2 linked regions of the Styela clava genome follow. The main gene of each other region encodes a partner of the protein of the gene in region 2 in a complex. Links are inferred from orthologs where the notes say so. Each region holds a gene or a part of one and is shown on either strand. Other genes may lie near its edges. The genes, in order: cytosolic iron-sulfur assembly component 2B-like and putative cytosolic iron-sulfur protein assembly protein CIAO1.

Region 1 (7,376 bases), on a different chromosome or scaffold from region 2:
CTGGTTGAATATGCTACATAGGAAAGCTGAAAAAACAATTGGACTTGATTTGAATTTTTAGCGAAGCATCAGTTACACATTGAACCTGAAATATTCCAGTTGTCCCAACACCTTCCACATATATATGGCTGCACCAGTAATTATTGTTTGATTTATCTATTACTATTGACTTAAATCACTGGTGTCGCTGCTCATTAACCAGTAATGGTGTCACATGCCTCCATTTACCCCGAAGTACCATATTACTTCCTTTTTGTATTGTTCATTCATAAAGTGTAGTTACATACTATATTGTTACATATTAGTATGGTGGAAAAATAAATTACTGATTCTAGCCAGTGGAACCATATAAAAAAAAAGATTCTATCCAGGCAATGGCATGTTTTTCCATGAATTTGGTTTTGAATTGTATAGCTGAGCGGTGTTAGGTCAAAGTTTATCTAAGAATTATAATCTCAATTTATGTCGCTAACCAAAAATTATTCTTTAAGCAAAATATCCTTTATGTGTATATTAGGTCACAGCTAATGATGCACAAATTTAATACAGACAAACATACATAATACCGGTAAATCATATATTATTTTGACATATAACAAGCAATCTATGGCGTGAAGTGTACCTGTATAATAAGAATACTTTGCAGTCTTGATGAGGTTGATGATTCACGTTTAAAATGAAAACAATCGTTTAGGAATATGAAAATGAGAAGCAATGTCGTCAATCCTTCAAAACAAACTGCAACTGCTTCGGCTGTCGATATGTCTGAAATAAAGAAATAAATTTTTTAACATACATGCAATTTAATTTAAATTCCTGCTTTTCTGAAATTATCGAATATAGTAGAATAGTATAAGACAGATGTTTTTATACCCATCTTCAACTAAATATTCACATTTGAATATCAATATTTCATCTTAGGAGACAAAGTAACTAAAATTCGTCACATTATGAATGGTAAAAAAATCAGAACACAAATAAAAAAGCACTACTTACGAGCGAAGAATGTTGTGATATTAGGACTAACATTATTTGAACAATTGTTTGACATTTTTTGTGAAAGGAGTTGGTTATATTCATTATGTCCTGCTAATAATTCTCAATGTTTCAGCTATGTTATGAGCATATTGTATAGTTCCAAATCTAGGCAAAAAAATATACAGATAATATTAGCTTGAAGTACTAACGAACTATTTAAGTTCCTCATTAAGGTAAAAATTAATAAGTATTGAATAAATTACTCGTTTACATTTAAACCAGCAATCATCATCATCATATGAGCACTTTTATGTGAAAGTATTTTGTAAATTTTAATATGCTATGAGTAACCTAGCAGTTATTATAACTGGCATGGCATTGTGACTACAATTATAGATCTACTATTGTTGAAATCTATCTACCAAAAGCTTGAAAAGCAATTGCATAAACTTGACTCAAAAAAATCCGCAACATGGCGACGGCATTGCATTTGTGAGAATAATATCAGAGATATAAATCATGGTATAAACACGTTCGGCAGGATAATGAAGAAGTGTTCTTATGGACAACCATAAACAAGACCATGAGACTACATAAAGCTTTTATGACCGTTTCACTGCTGGAAAATATACAAGTAACATAAATATCCACTACATCAGTCGCTTAATTTTTCCTGTCTGCTGAATTAATAAAACATGTAAAATGAAGCATGGTGGTAAATTGGCAGTCATGCTTTGATACCTATTCAGTTTCACACATTTTGATCTAAAATTCTACAATCATATTTAGTCACAGGATTAACTGTCAAAACTGTTCAATTAAAAAAAAAAAAAATTATTCTGCAAAGTTGTTTTTCACGTGTTTACATGAATATGCCTCTGCCCGTTCCAACGGTCTGGAAAAGAGGTGTTGTTATCCGCCATGCATCGAACCAAAAAAATACTAAAGTGCTCCACACCACACATACACCGCACAATCGAAAACATGGAACAACTTCTTCCCCATTCCAACACGCATGAAATATGTATATACATATTGAAAGAAATGTCAGACAATTCTGTTAAACAACTATTTTGTTAGTTTTTCACGGTCAAACATTGATTAACAACACCCAATAAATGATTGTTTTCAAGAGCTGCCGCTACTCTTTCTTTGTCTGCTAGTTGTTTATTAACTGCAGTCTCTGATTGATGTGTTCCTTTCGCAATTTTTATTTCAACTTTGAACCTTGAAGGTAAAGCTCTTAGAAGTTGTACTCTGATTGCTAGTCCAATTAATGTAGCCATGCTGCAATGAGGTATTGTTGGAGTAAATGAAACAATGACGGAACTAGCTTTATCATCAACAAAAATGTCTTTTTCATTCACAACTCTCAAGTCTTCCAAAGTAAGTGGATGCTCTGGATCATTGATATCACGAATCAAATCAAAAATTTCTCTGGCATCGATTTCATCATGAATGTCGTCATCTTGGTTTTCTTCCCGATATCTCGGAGTCTGAGATTCATGAACTAGTGGATTAGCGTTGTCTTTAGATGAGAAGTTCATGCTTTTTACTGTTATAACTGTATAACATAGAGAAAACAAATTTTGAATGTCATTAACGGAATTTCATTTCAGTAAAATTATGGTGTTTTTGTAGCAAATACAAGTACAACCAAGAACTAAGTAAAGAATCTTAATCCCCATGGCTGAGTACAGAATAAATTATCTCATTGTGTATTGCTGTACTGCTCAATTCAGATATTACAGCGGCTCGACAGTGTTGTGCACCATGATAAGCGTTAGGAATACAGGAATACCGGTACCACAGCACCACACATCTGATTACAATGCGTGGCTTTGCAGGTTTGAATCTTATGCGGGGTTACTATGTACGCGAGGATTGCTCGACTCCTCGGTATCACCGCTGTGAAGCTAGTAGAATTTGACCTTTGTGTGCGGCGAGGCGAAAAGGTTAAAATTCTTGGCAGAATTAAGTGTATTCATCTGAAAACAAATGACTGGTTTAAGCAGTCGTACTGTCTTTCCTCACCGGCTCACCCCCGGGATAAATATGTAGATCCTACTGTCCTATCCGACAGTATTATGTAAAAATTATTAAAATAACAGAACCACATTATTTTCGGGTCTAGTGTAGTTTCGTACCTAAAGTACTTCTAGTGCTGTAGTGGGTGTATAATCGGAAGGTATAATACTAAGGCAGGGGTGGGCAACCCCTGGCACGCGTGCCAAACTTGGCACGCGAGTGCATTTATTCGGCACGCGAGCGAGGCCTTGGGGCGCAGGGTTCACCTGGCTATATTCTCACGTAATATAGTTCATTATGTGTCGCCCTTTTTCGTCATTTCTGCTTGATTTGTGAAGTTGTACAGCTCATATCGGGTATAGTTACTGTTATAAATTAATTTTGAAAGAAATATATATAAGCGATAAGGGAAGCGAATACAAGAGAGAAGTGCGGAAATCGGGATGCCATTCGCGAATTTTTCGTGTCTTAAAAACTTTGCAACTGCACTACTCTCCATGTTTTCATCTACATACTGACATATGCTTGTGAATCTCTGTTCTCAGTTATAAACCTTATTAAGTCTCGCAACAGGAGTAGCCTGAAAGATGAAACCAGTAGTTCGTGTATTTCTTTGAAAGTTACAAAATATAAACCCAATGTGAAATCTCTATCAGCGGTAATGAAGCAGCAAAAGTCTCACTTAGATAGAATAAGAAAAGTAATTAAATCTATTTGTCGGGAAGATACTTACACTAATAGTTAATCTGTCTGTACATGTTTAAATAGTTTATTATTGTGTATTTTTGCTTTGAAAGTAGCAAAGCATTGTTTTTAATCTTGGCCGGCACGCGGCGGAAAAATGTTGTCATTAAATTTAACCGATTTTGGCACGCTAGACGAAAAAGGTTGCACAGCCCTGTCCAAAGGCCTAAGCCAGGGGTCACCAAACTACGGCCCGCGGGCCGGTCCGGCCCGCAATAACACGCAAACATTGCTAAATATTTTTCCAAGGGAGATTTTCCCGAGCATCGTCTTCCTTGTTTAATTCGTAACATTGGCCAATCTGCAAGATGCAAAAACGTGACGTAATAATATTTCTTTTCGCTTCCGCTCAGACACTTTTTTCACCCTGATAGATTTTCAGTCGTGGTTGTAAACAATATTTCGTTTTTGCGACTTTAAATGCTATTCGTTAGTTTTTGGTTGTGTTTCGGAAATTTAAGTATGAATCAAATAAGTCAATCATCATTTGCGTCCTTAGGAGTTGTAGTTTTAATAGTAGTAAGGAAAAATTAGTCTAGGAATAGCTGTGACATAATAGGCTAAATTTCTCTACCGGTACGCGGTTTTCTAACACTGCATAACGGTACTTAGCAAACGTGATGCGTATATTTTTTGGCGCGAAAAAGCGGATTTTGAAAATTCCTAATTCACGACAGAAACGTTTTGATACCAGCTAAACTCAGGATAGTTGTTTAGATATTGAAATCTTTCATATTTGTTTTCCTAGGATGTTCCTGATCTATATTCTGCGATATACATAGAATTTGAATCAAGTCTTCAGAAATGTAGAAGATATATTGTTGAATGGATTTCCCAACTTTTGTGAATTTATTATATTGCATTGACAAGAATATTCATCCGGCCCGTTTCAACACAGTTTGAGTCATACCCGGCCCGCGGTCAAAAAAGTTTGGTGACCCCTGGCCTAAGCTGTAGAGCAGGGGTCGGCAACCTTTTGTCGCTCAGGGGACAAAAAGTTAGAGTTGCAAGTGATTGTCGGGCAGCCCATATTTTTAGAAACCGAACGAACGCATCCATCACTAGAATATAGATTTATTTCCTCATTGCATTGCATCTCAAAAAATTCCATTGAATATTTTCGGCGCCATCGAACCCTTTGCACTTAGCTTGAACTTTTCTGCGTTTTGTTGCCATTTGTCTAATTGTAATTAAATTATTAAACGAGTAATTGTAAATTTATGCTTGTTGGATTATAATATAATTTAGTCTACACGTGTCTCACAATAAATTCTGTTACGTAAAGAATATAATCGCCAAAACAACTGTTTTGTTACTATAATTGGGTGAAGTGTCGCTGGCCGGATTATATTACTTCGCGGGCCGGAGGTTGCCGACCCCTGCTGTAGAGCTAAAGGATGTTTCCCCGGGCATCGATTTCCTTGTTTATTTCCGTAACAATTACAAATCAACAATACGTTAACAATGAAGTGACAGTTGGAATTTATGCCGTGGATCAGACAGATATTCAAACACGGTTGTAAACGTTCCCTCTTTTGGTAGTTTTGCGTGTTGTTCGCCAGTTTTAGTCCCTCTGTCACTTTTGCCGCTGCGGTCATATTCGACAACAATTATGGCATTTAGTTATTATTAATAGCATGCAACAATCATGCTACATTAATTGGGAAAGTACAATCAAGTAAGAAGACGCGTATAAAAATATAAGTTTATTTTGACCTCAAAAACAGCATAAGAGACGATAAAACAAAGATGAAAAAAAAAATGAATAAAACTGATTACAGAATAAGGAAAGCGAACACAACCTTATTAAGTTAAGTTCAAAACGTACAGATTTTAGATTAAAAGATGTTGTCAAAAGAAATGGTACGTGTTCGCTTTCCCTCCCTTACTCGATTTTAAAAGTTTTATTATCGTTACCTACTTGTTATCTGTAACGTTGTCAATACATTCAAAATTGTACTTTTGGTACTCCCGAATAGCGGACACCGTAGGCCTAACCCAGTATGCGTACCAGGTTAGGGTTAGGCCATAATTTCACGTAATAATACTACGGGTGTCACTTTGCTATTCCGCGAACTCGTAATAGCACTAAAATTGGGATAAAATTATGGCCTAAACCTAACCTGGTACACGTAGGCTACTATGTTCTGGTGTCCGCCATCTTAGTTCACATACTTCGGGAGTACCGATTTTTTAATATAACTAAATTAACAATTTTTGAATGCAGTCGAACATATCTGAATGCTTTGATAATGGTTGCCTGTGTTAAGAAAACAGAAACTTAAGTACGCTAAAAACGATTGCAGTGATTTTACCCGAGATGCCGCTTTCACGAACCGTCTCGGACCAGTATCAGTTTCATACGTTCATACAGTTACGTTCCACTCCTGTGGTTTCCGTTTCATAACATCCCTTGGGTCGCCAGATGGTAATTTTTAAATCTATGCTAACATTCATCGGTGGGGTGTGGGGCATATAAATCTTGGCAGATTTATTGACTTGTTGGCCGTAACGGTGGTTCTCTCCAGCCTTGCTGTAGCTCGTAAACCTGGTCGAAATTGTGGGTAGAATTATATTTGAACGTTGAACTGCCGTCGGCCGGTTAAATGTAATCGTTATAATGGTATTTTTAAGCTACTAGTTATGGTATTCGGATATCAAAAAAGTTGCACTTATTGTTAGATGTAGACAAATATAATTTATTGCTTCCCTACGTTGACGCCGTCTAACTTCGTTGGCATAATTCGACCAGATATAAATCACAAAAAAGCTAGGAGGGGGCTGATAGGACAAGAAGGCAGCTATCATCAGACATGGGGGCATGTTAGCAAGTTGGCCGGACTTAGGTAGGTGACGCATTGATGGTATGGGCAGACGTATGGAGACTCTGGAAGGCGGGTTAGTTATAGGCAGGTATGGTCAGACGTAGGGAGACGCTAGGAAGCGGGTTGGGTGTAGGCGGGCATCTCGGATGGGACACCAGAAAGTGGGTTGGGTGTAGGCAAGCGGGTAGGGTGAGACATAATAGACGCTGGGAGGTGGGTTGGGTGAGAGATTGAGGGGCACCATGAGGCGGGTTGAGTGTAGACCTCCACATGTGAGGGGTAAGAAATGAATTAGGTGATGTTGTAAATATGTAAGGGTGGGAAGCGGGTTGGGTAGTGCCAAAATAGCATTAGCTTGGGTATACAGTGGAGAATCAGATTAAATGGCTTATTTGTTATGATAGAACATAAAAATTAGCTGTCTTATCAAAATATCCCATATATTTGCTTCAAATAATGGAAATCTTGCTTCAACTCATCAGAAAACCTGTGTTTATTTTTCAGCCTTTTGATGATTCAACGACCGGATAGATAGATGTTAAATTAACGCAGGGTTTATACTTCGTATCATAACTGTAACATGGCAATACAGTAGCTCTATCTCTCTCATTCTGAACTAGTAAAGTGAGTTGCTAATCAGTGGTAAATCGGATGCCTCCATTAAAAAAGATAAACAATTTTATATTAATACTAAATTATTGTAATAAAATATAAATAAAAAATTATTCATGACTTCCATACTGTATGACCGGAACCTTTAGGACTACCGTTTGGGACGGTGGGGAAGCTTACTAAAATCGG
Region 2 (7,865 bases):
GCAGTTCATTCATCAAAAATAAAATTACATTGTAGAAAATCACGAGATGGGTTGCCATAAGCTGTAGTAATAAATAGTGCGTCCCAACTCTAAGAAGTTGGGGAACCACTGCCTTAATTTGAATGTCTTGAAAGGATGGAAATATAAAATTTAATTTTCTATCTTCTCAATACTCTGTACACTGATACAGTAATACATATATCTGTTGTAAATTAAAGTAATGTCTAATTTGCCCCATCTCTCAGTGGTATTGCGATAAACCAAAGATATTTAGAGTCAAATTTAAATCTTGATTATTCGACAATATTTTTACAACGTGATGCATCAATCAATACAAAACCAAAGCGTTAATATCAGACCTGCCTACAGTTTTAATTATATATAATATATTATATAATTTATCTTAAGTTTATTGGGTTTACTTATTTCGCAATTATCTCTGTTGTTATGTGTGTGTGTGAATTAATTTAATAATTTTAGGTGAGTGAACACGTACCAGTTCTTCTTAGCCAAACCTTCCATCTTATATTCTGTACGTTTTAAACCTTATCTAAGGTTTTGTTTGCTCTCCTGATTCTATAATCGGTTTATATTTTTATTATTCATTTTAATTCCTGTTATGCAAATTATGGAGCCGAAATGACCTTATACTTATTATTTTAAAAAAATTATTTATTTTTCTGTTATTGTTCGATCAATTGATTGTTTAATTTGGTGATAATACTGGAATTAAAACAAATTAAATTAAGATAAATTGTACCTAGTAAACAAAAATAATAGTGAAAAACGAAAATACTTAAAATCGAAAACGTTATATATATAATCATCTTACCGGTTATTAAAACATTTGGAAGTTTTCTTTGGTTCATTTTGAATGTACTTCCAGCACAAAACATTCAGAAATGACGCCAATATGACGAAACTCGTAGAAACTGACCAGAACGAGTTGATCTGATGTAATTGTAAACAAATGTGACTCCACATGGAAACTCTAAAGTGACTCCTTGTGGATCAAAAATTTTTCCACACAAACCGCTAGATGACGACATTGAGTCGCATGTGAATTTCCGATTGATTACATTTCAGAAAATTGGAATGAATTTATTCAAGTTCTAATTTTTATTTTTCACCAAATTAATTGTTGGGAATACCTCAGAAATTGGGCGACCTTTTAACAATGTCATGGCATTATCCCAGTGCCACTGGCACCATAGATCACGTGAACAAAGTTGGTAAACATGACTTTTGCTTTTGTCCACTCTCAGACAATTTCGTGTTTTGCTGCTAGCTTCACAGAGGTCTCTCAGACTCTGTCTGTAGAAATCTTCAGTTTTTAGACAAATGATACATATTTTTTTTTTATTATGTTTGTTTACTATCGATGTGTAAGTCATCGAGTTCTTCTTACTTTATATTTTCTCTGTGTTTGTGTGGGCGCGTGTGCAAACTAATTCAATTATTTTAGGTGAGTGAACACATAATTTGGACGTTGTTTTGCTAGTTAGTAGGGTGGTGTAGCCAGTCTGCGGACGATTTCATTCAAACCGCGACGGCGACTAAAACAAAAACCAATATTTCCAACCCGTTAATTTTTTCACCGTAGGTGCATTGGCATTTATTCTACACGCTGAACTTCTACGACCAATTTCTAATTCTACGAATTAACTTTCTACGACCAGGGGTTAAAGCTATACAAACCACCAAAGTACGACACTCTGAAGACGTTTTTGCGACCGAACGACCAGTGTGCGATCACGAATTTCAAGCCTTGAACATCGTTTCTGCTGCGTCGAGACTAGGGCATACGCAGCCATGCGTGAAAAAATGGGCTTCTAATTGCATTTCTGACCGTCATATATTTTAAGAACACAGTTATTTCAAACAAAATTCTTCAAATTATAAACAAAGCGCCGCATCACAGCAATCAAACAGACAAAAACACGGTGGTCGCAAATTTGTTGACAAAGATATTATTGACGTATTGGAAATGCGCACCCCCCTACTCCCCCTCCTTTGAATGTAGAAACGCGAAACTTTAAAGATGGTTAAAAGAAACACAACTCTTCCCACCTGCCAAGTTTCATCTCTTTATCTCTTATATTTGTATGGATTTTTAAGCTTTTCCGAAGGAACAATGGGTAGTTGGCGACATGGTAAAATGGTCCGTTTTTTTTCTTCGGTCAGGTTTTCAGTCGTAACTTTTTTATTTGTGGTCGCATTTTAGTGTAATTTTGCAGAGCTACGAGGGATAAGTGGACGATAACGTGTGAGAAATATCGTCGCGGTTCGTTAATTTTTTCGGCATTCGTTTAATCGATGAAGTTGATGGTCGCAGATAGGTCGTGGCCGCAAAGTGGGTAAGCCACCCTACTTCTAATTGTTGAGTGAAGCAGGTCTAGCTCACCCCTTCATATATCCAACTTGGCAATTCTGATTGGGCAATTTGGCATTAGGTGACTCCAATTATAATCAGATTGACGATATCTTTCAAGGAATACTTTTCTATCCACAGTTGATTAGTCTTGTTGACTAATTCGATATCCAATTCGGCAATCTTCATAAAACTATTAATTTGGTGTGGCAAATGAGTTTACTCATTTTTTTCCTTTGTTTGTATATTTTTCTTTTTACTTTTAATTGATATTTGAGTAATTTAATTGATTTTAAGTCTCGCTTTTTCCACTTCCGACGTTATCATGTTTCAATGATTGTAGGTGCGTGCCTTAATTAATTTTTTTACTTTTGGGTGAGCGAACGCATACTACTTCCTTTATCAATACCTTTCCATCTAAAATCTGTACGTCTATGTAAAATCTAGCTAATCATGTAAAAACTTTTAACTACAAATTATTGTGGAATATTTTACCGCTTAAACCAATGTCAAGAATTAGATATATTGCTGGAGATGACCTATGTGTATTTTGGGACAAAGAAGCTGAATTTATAACACATTTATTCTGGAATTGCTCATTTGTGAAACAATTGTATGATTATGTTTTTTCTATTATTATGAAAATAACTAACAGTGGCAACTTAATAAATTATGAAACATGTACATTATTAGATTTAAGACACAATAATTATATACATTTGACCAATATAGAAAAAAATGCTATTATTTTATTGATATGTACTGCAAGATATAAAATTTGGTTGCAAAGAAATGCAGTGATTTTTGAAAATGTAATGCCAAGAGTGAATAATGTAGTCAATACTATAAGAAATTCAATAAGGTGTAGGAGAAATATAGAACGACTGAGAAATTTACCTAATTATTGTGAAGAACTTGATTTATTATGCAAATATATATAAAATATAACTAGAAGTGTTTATTGTAATGAAGTGGAACTAATTCTTGAAATTTAAAAAAAATAAATAAATCTGTACGTTTTAAACCTTACTCAAGGTTTTGTTCGCTTTCCCGATTCTATAATCAATTAATTTTATCTCTTGTTTTATTGTCTAATGCTGATTATGGAGTTGAAATAAACTTATACTTATTATACATACTGACATACCGTGCGGTACCACTTCTTCTTGGCAAAACCTTCCATCTTATATTCTGTATGTTTTAAACCTTATCTAAGGTTTTATTTGCTCTCCTGATTTCATAATCAGTTTTTTATTTATTTGTTTCTATCAATCATTTTATTGCCTGGTATGCTGATTACTGGATTATGTAGTCGAAATAAAATCATACTCATTATGTTTTGTTTACTTTAAATGTACATATTCTAAGTAATCTTCTGGTGCACTTGACCGAAAATGAGTGGCATTGACATGTTCATTGTTGGAATTCAACAACTGTTATACTTATCCTCCTAATTCAGTAATCTTTTCAGTATATCACAAAATAATATCATTCTAGGATTGCGGAAAGTTTATATCTCTCCCATTGCCATTTTTTTCTATCGCAAACCGAGTAATTAGCAGACGTAGAAAAACAAGTATAGTTTGCCTGACGAATATGTTTTTTGAAAGCCATACTTTATACTTTAAATTTACATAGTTTATGTCTTCATTTAATATTATTTTTTTTATCATTTAATAATATATTATAAATCAGCCCTATAATGTCTATCCGACAAATTGCAACGTTAACGGGACATGGTGATAGAGTATGGGGTGTTCACTGGAATCACACAGGAAAGCATTTGGCGTCTTGCAGCGGCGACAAAAGCGTGCGAATTTGGGGGCTGGAGGGTGAAAAATGGGTCTGCAAAACGATTCTCGAAGAAGGCCACCAGCGTGCAATACGAAGGGTTGCTTGGTCCCCTTGTGGGAACCGTTTAGCGACCGCAAGTTTTGATGCAACAGTTTGTATTTGGGATAAAAAATCAGGGGAATTTGAATGTATTGCAACACTTGAAGGACATGAAAATGAAGTCAAAGCTGCAGCCTGGTCCATTTCAGGGTCATATCTGGCAACATGTTCTCGGGATAAATCAGTCTGGGTTTGGGAAACCTATGATGAGGATGATTTTGAATGTGCAGGGGTCGTGACCTCTCATACCCAGGATGTAAAAGAAGTAGTATGGCATCCTAATGAAGATATTTTTGCTTCGGGTAGCTATGACGATACAGTGCGGATTTTTGAGGAGGATGACGGGGAGTGGGTTACTGGTGCAGTGTTAGAAGGTCATGACTCCACCGTGTGGTCAATTTCTTGGGATAAATCCGGCGATCGATTAGCAACAGTCTCAGATGATAAAACTTTAAAGATATGGAAACGCTATAAATCTGGCAACCCTCAAAATATTGTGACAGGGAGTTCAAAGTATTCATGGAAATGTATTTGCACTCTTTCTGGATTTCACGAAAGAACGATATTTTCCGTTGACTGGTGTCATCAAACGGGACTCATCGCTACAGCGTGTGCCGATGATGCTATTCGAATCTTTAAAGAAGATGAGAAAAGCTCTTCTGATGAACCGACTTTCAATCTGTTGTGTTCGTATAATCACTCTCACGCGCAAGATGTAAACTGCGTGTCCTGGAATCCCGCTCAGCCGGGAATCCTCGCTTCAGCGAGTGATGACTGTGAAGTTAAAATTTGGAAAATTGATGATGTTTAATCTTTTTATGAATTTTAATTCAAAACCTAATGGGAGAGTGGAGCCGATAAGAGGGCTTAATGGGTGCTCCCGAAGTATGCGAACCAAGATGGGCGGACATCGGAACGTAACATGGGTAACAGGTTATGGTTAGGCGATGATTTTTTTCCAATTTTCCTTATTTTTATCCTATTATCAGTTCGAAGACTAGCCAAGAGCCTCCCGTAGTATTTATAGCTAAAATTATGGCCTAACCCTAACCTAGTACACATTACATTCCGATGTCCGCCATCTTGGTTCGCATACTTCGGGAGCCCCGCTTAATGATATGGCGAACTATGGCCTCTCGACCATGCAATGGTGTTCGAGATTATCAATGGCTTTTAAAACTTATCCTAAGGGGAGAGGAAATTTGATAAGATGGCTTAATCATATGGAGAACCACGGCTTCTTATCTGGTTATCAATCCATGTGATGATTTTTAGGATTCTTCATAATATTTATTACTCATCCATGTTAATGGGAGATGAAAAACGGTAACGTGGCTTGATCACACAGTATGCTGTGTTGAGGCAGCTTGACTCAATTTGAATTGGACTCGAGTTATCATTTTTTAAAGACTTGAAGTGACTTGGGGCGTTGACTTTGATGACTGTCTGGTTGTATCACTCTCTCCAAAATAATTTATTACTTATTATTATTATTTTTTTTACGATGACTGTTATATTATTTTGGTTGACGAAAAAAATAAATCTCTCCTCTCTCGTCGAAATCGGTGATTCTCAAACCGTGGCCCCTTGGGCGAAATGATTTAATATGGCCCATGCCCATCGGACCTAATTGAAATAGTCCAACACTTTATAACATATATATTTTTGCATTCTAATTACTGTCAATTGTTATGTCATTATCGCAATTTTTAATGCATGTGTATATCATAACAATTTGATTTTCATCTTTTGAAAGTACTGATCGTAATGAAGTGATTCAACAAATGGCCAGTGAGACTTAATGCAGGAATTGACTAGACTTGACTTACATTTCTAATCTGGTTTTCGTTCCGAATCCAATTTTTAAGGAGCGTTGTCCAAGGCTAAAGACAAATATGACCTATATATAATATTCACAGTTTGTCATATTGAGATCTGAGCCTTCGGCCCAGTAACCAAGTCTATTCTCTGTAACTGACCCACTCAGAAGAGTAGTTGCCCTGCCTTGAAAACCAATCTATTCTTTTATATGCTGTTCACTCTGAACAAGGCTACATTACTGCTATTTTCCCCATCTTATGTGGTCCATGGCATCTTCTGGAATTTACATGTCTGGATCTTCATGTGTTTCGTGAAACTTAGTGTAAAAACATATCAATTCAGCGACCCATACCCTATCTCCATCTTTTTACACCGGAACCTGGGATATGGACGTGCCATAAACTGACTATTGTACATATCGTCGTTGTGCCGTACCTCTTTGTCTTGTGTATTTTATTTGTATAGTAATTTCATGTCTGTTGTCCTAGTATAACGCAGCAGTCCTAAACATGCATGTCGCACATCTGTGTCTTAGGCCAGTAAGGTCTTGAACATGTATCCAATCTCTGTTTTACTCTTTAATTATTATGCAGCTACTGTTACTTTTTTGAGGCAAATAAACATACATACATACATACTTTTAGCACTCATGGCCCCCTGTCCATCATTCCAGTGGTATTTAGAGTGTAATTTTATTTGGTAGATTAGTTTGACACCTGACATTGTGGCCCAACTGTTCTGTGGCCTTCCTGGGGAGGTATGGCTTCCTGGTTGGGAACTGCTGTTATGTAGTTTGGAACGACTGGTATATTTCTGGTTTGGCCCTGGGTGAGGCGCTCATTTATAATTATTCGAATGATAATTTTTAATCATTGAGGCATATCTGGTCAGAATAAGTTCTATTCAATTTAGTAGGGTATAATTCTGTCTAATTGTTTTTGCAAATATTGAGGTGTTCAACTGTTTATTTTTCACTATTAGTCAATGAGGCAAATCTGGCCAGAATATTTGCTTCTTAATCAAAGGGCTTAAGTGCTGCCACATTTATTCATTTCAAGAATATTATTATGATCTATCAGCTTTCCCATTTAATAATTTTATTGCTTTTTTTCATTTTTAAATTCAGCGAAAATTTTGTAAATAAAATCAAAAATATAAATGGAGACGCAAAAAGGCGGGAATGGTCGCGGTTCAATAAACCCAAACTATTTGCACGGTAATGCCGTAACGTCTATGATTTCACCAATTAATAAACAAGGATATTTGGGAGATTTAGAGGAAAAATCTGAACCAGAATTGAATGAATTACTGGAAAGACAGGAAAAAATGCTGAAAAATAAGTAAGTGGTATATTTTAAATTTCTGTTTGTGGGTTTTAGGTGAAATTTTCGTGTCTAGATGTTTCAATCATACTTTTCAAGTTTCATACTTTTCGAGTCGAGTATGAATCATTTTAAAAGTGTTGCTACAAGAAGGGTCACACAAACTCACTCAGAAGTAAAGGAGCCATTGTGTAGAGAAGTGTTTCTCAACCTAGGGTCGCCTTTAAATTTTTTTTTCGGTCGCTTGTTTTTTCAACCAACTTTAATAGTCTTCATTTTCAGGTAAATTTTATTGTTGATAAGTATGTTGATAGGTATTTGTCTGTATGTCTGTCTGTTAGATGCACGCGATATTTCACGAAGGCTTGGTTGAATCTGCTCCAAATTTTGCATGTGCATTCATCATATCTCGGACCAGAAGCCTATTGATTTTGGATGAATTGTGTCGTGTATTAGCG

What was found.
Region 1: the proteins of putative cytosolic iron-sulfur protein assembly protein CIAO1 (region 2) and cytosolic iron-sulfur assembly component 2B-like are in contact, whole or in part, in a crystal structure (PDB 6TBN), measured with the Drosophila melanogaster proteins. The link is inferred for Styela clava from reciprocal best matches to the Drosophila melanogaster genes Ciao1 and galla-2. Residues at the interface, in NP_610996.1 of Drosophila melanogaster: Arg16, Trp18, Arg60, Thr61, Arg63, Phe79, Glu105, Lys107, Arg123, Asp150, Lys152, Tyr168, Asn170, Ser195, Thr196, Trp198, Thr216, Ser248, Gly249, Gln250, His251, Ser252, Arg253, Tyr256, Gly272, Asp273, Asp274, Arg277, Glu299, Gln304; in NP_648416.1 of Drosophila melanogaster: Ser74, Pro106, Lys109, Thr111, Ala124, Lys127, Gln128, Asp131, Lys132, Glu133, Arg134, Ala136, Ala137, Glu140.

The regions. Positions count from the first base shown.
Region 1 is NC_135255.1:15,933,325-15,940,700, forward strand, and holds cytosolic iron-sulfur assembly component 2B-like, read right to left. Parts: upstream 2,565-7,376; 5' UTR 2,526-2,564; coding exon 2,055-2,525; 3' UTR 1,143-2,054; downstream 1-1,142. Other genes in the region: organic solute transporter subunit alpha-like, read right to left, coding at 1-26, 623-765, 997-1,051. UniProt on the Drosophila melanogaster protein: Component of the crb-galla-Xpd (CGX) complex which is essential for proper mitotic chromosome segregation in early embryos. The CGX complex is also required for cell proliferation in developing wing disks.
Region 2 is NC_135252.1:24,218,567-24,226,431, reverse strand, and holds putative cytosolic iron-sulfur protein assembly protein CIAO1, read left to right. Parts: upstream 1-4,051; 5' UTR 4,052-4,073; coding exon 4,074-5,075; 3' UTR 5,076-7,211; downstream 7,212-7,865. Other genes in the region: adenylate kinase isoenzyme 6-like, read right to left, coding at 833-896; uncharacterized protein LOC120342056, read left to right, coding at 7,244-7,425. UniProt on the Drosophila melanogaster protein: Essential component of the cytosolic iron-sulfur (Fe/S) protein assembly machinery. Required for the maturation of extramitochondrial Fe/S proteins.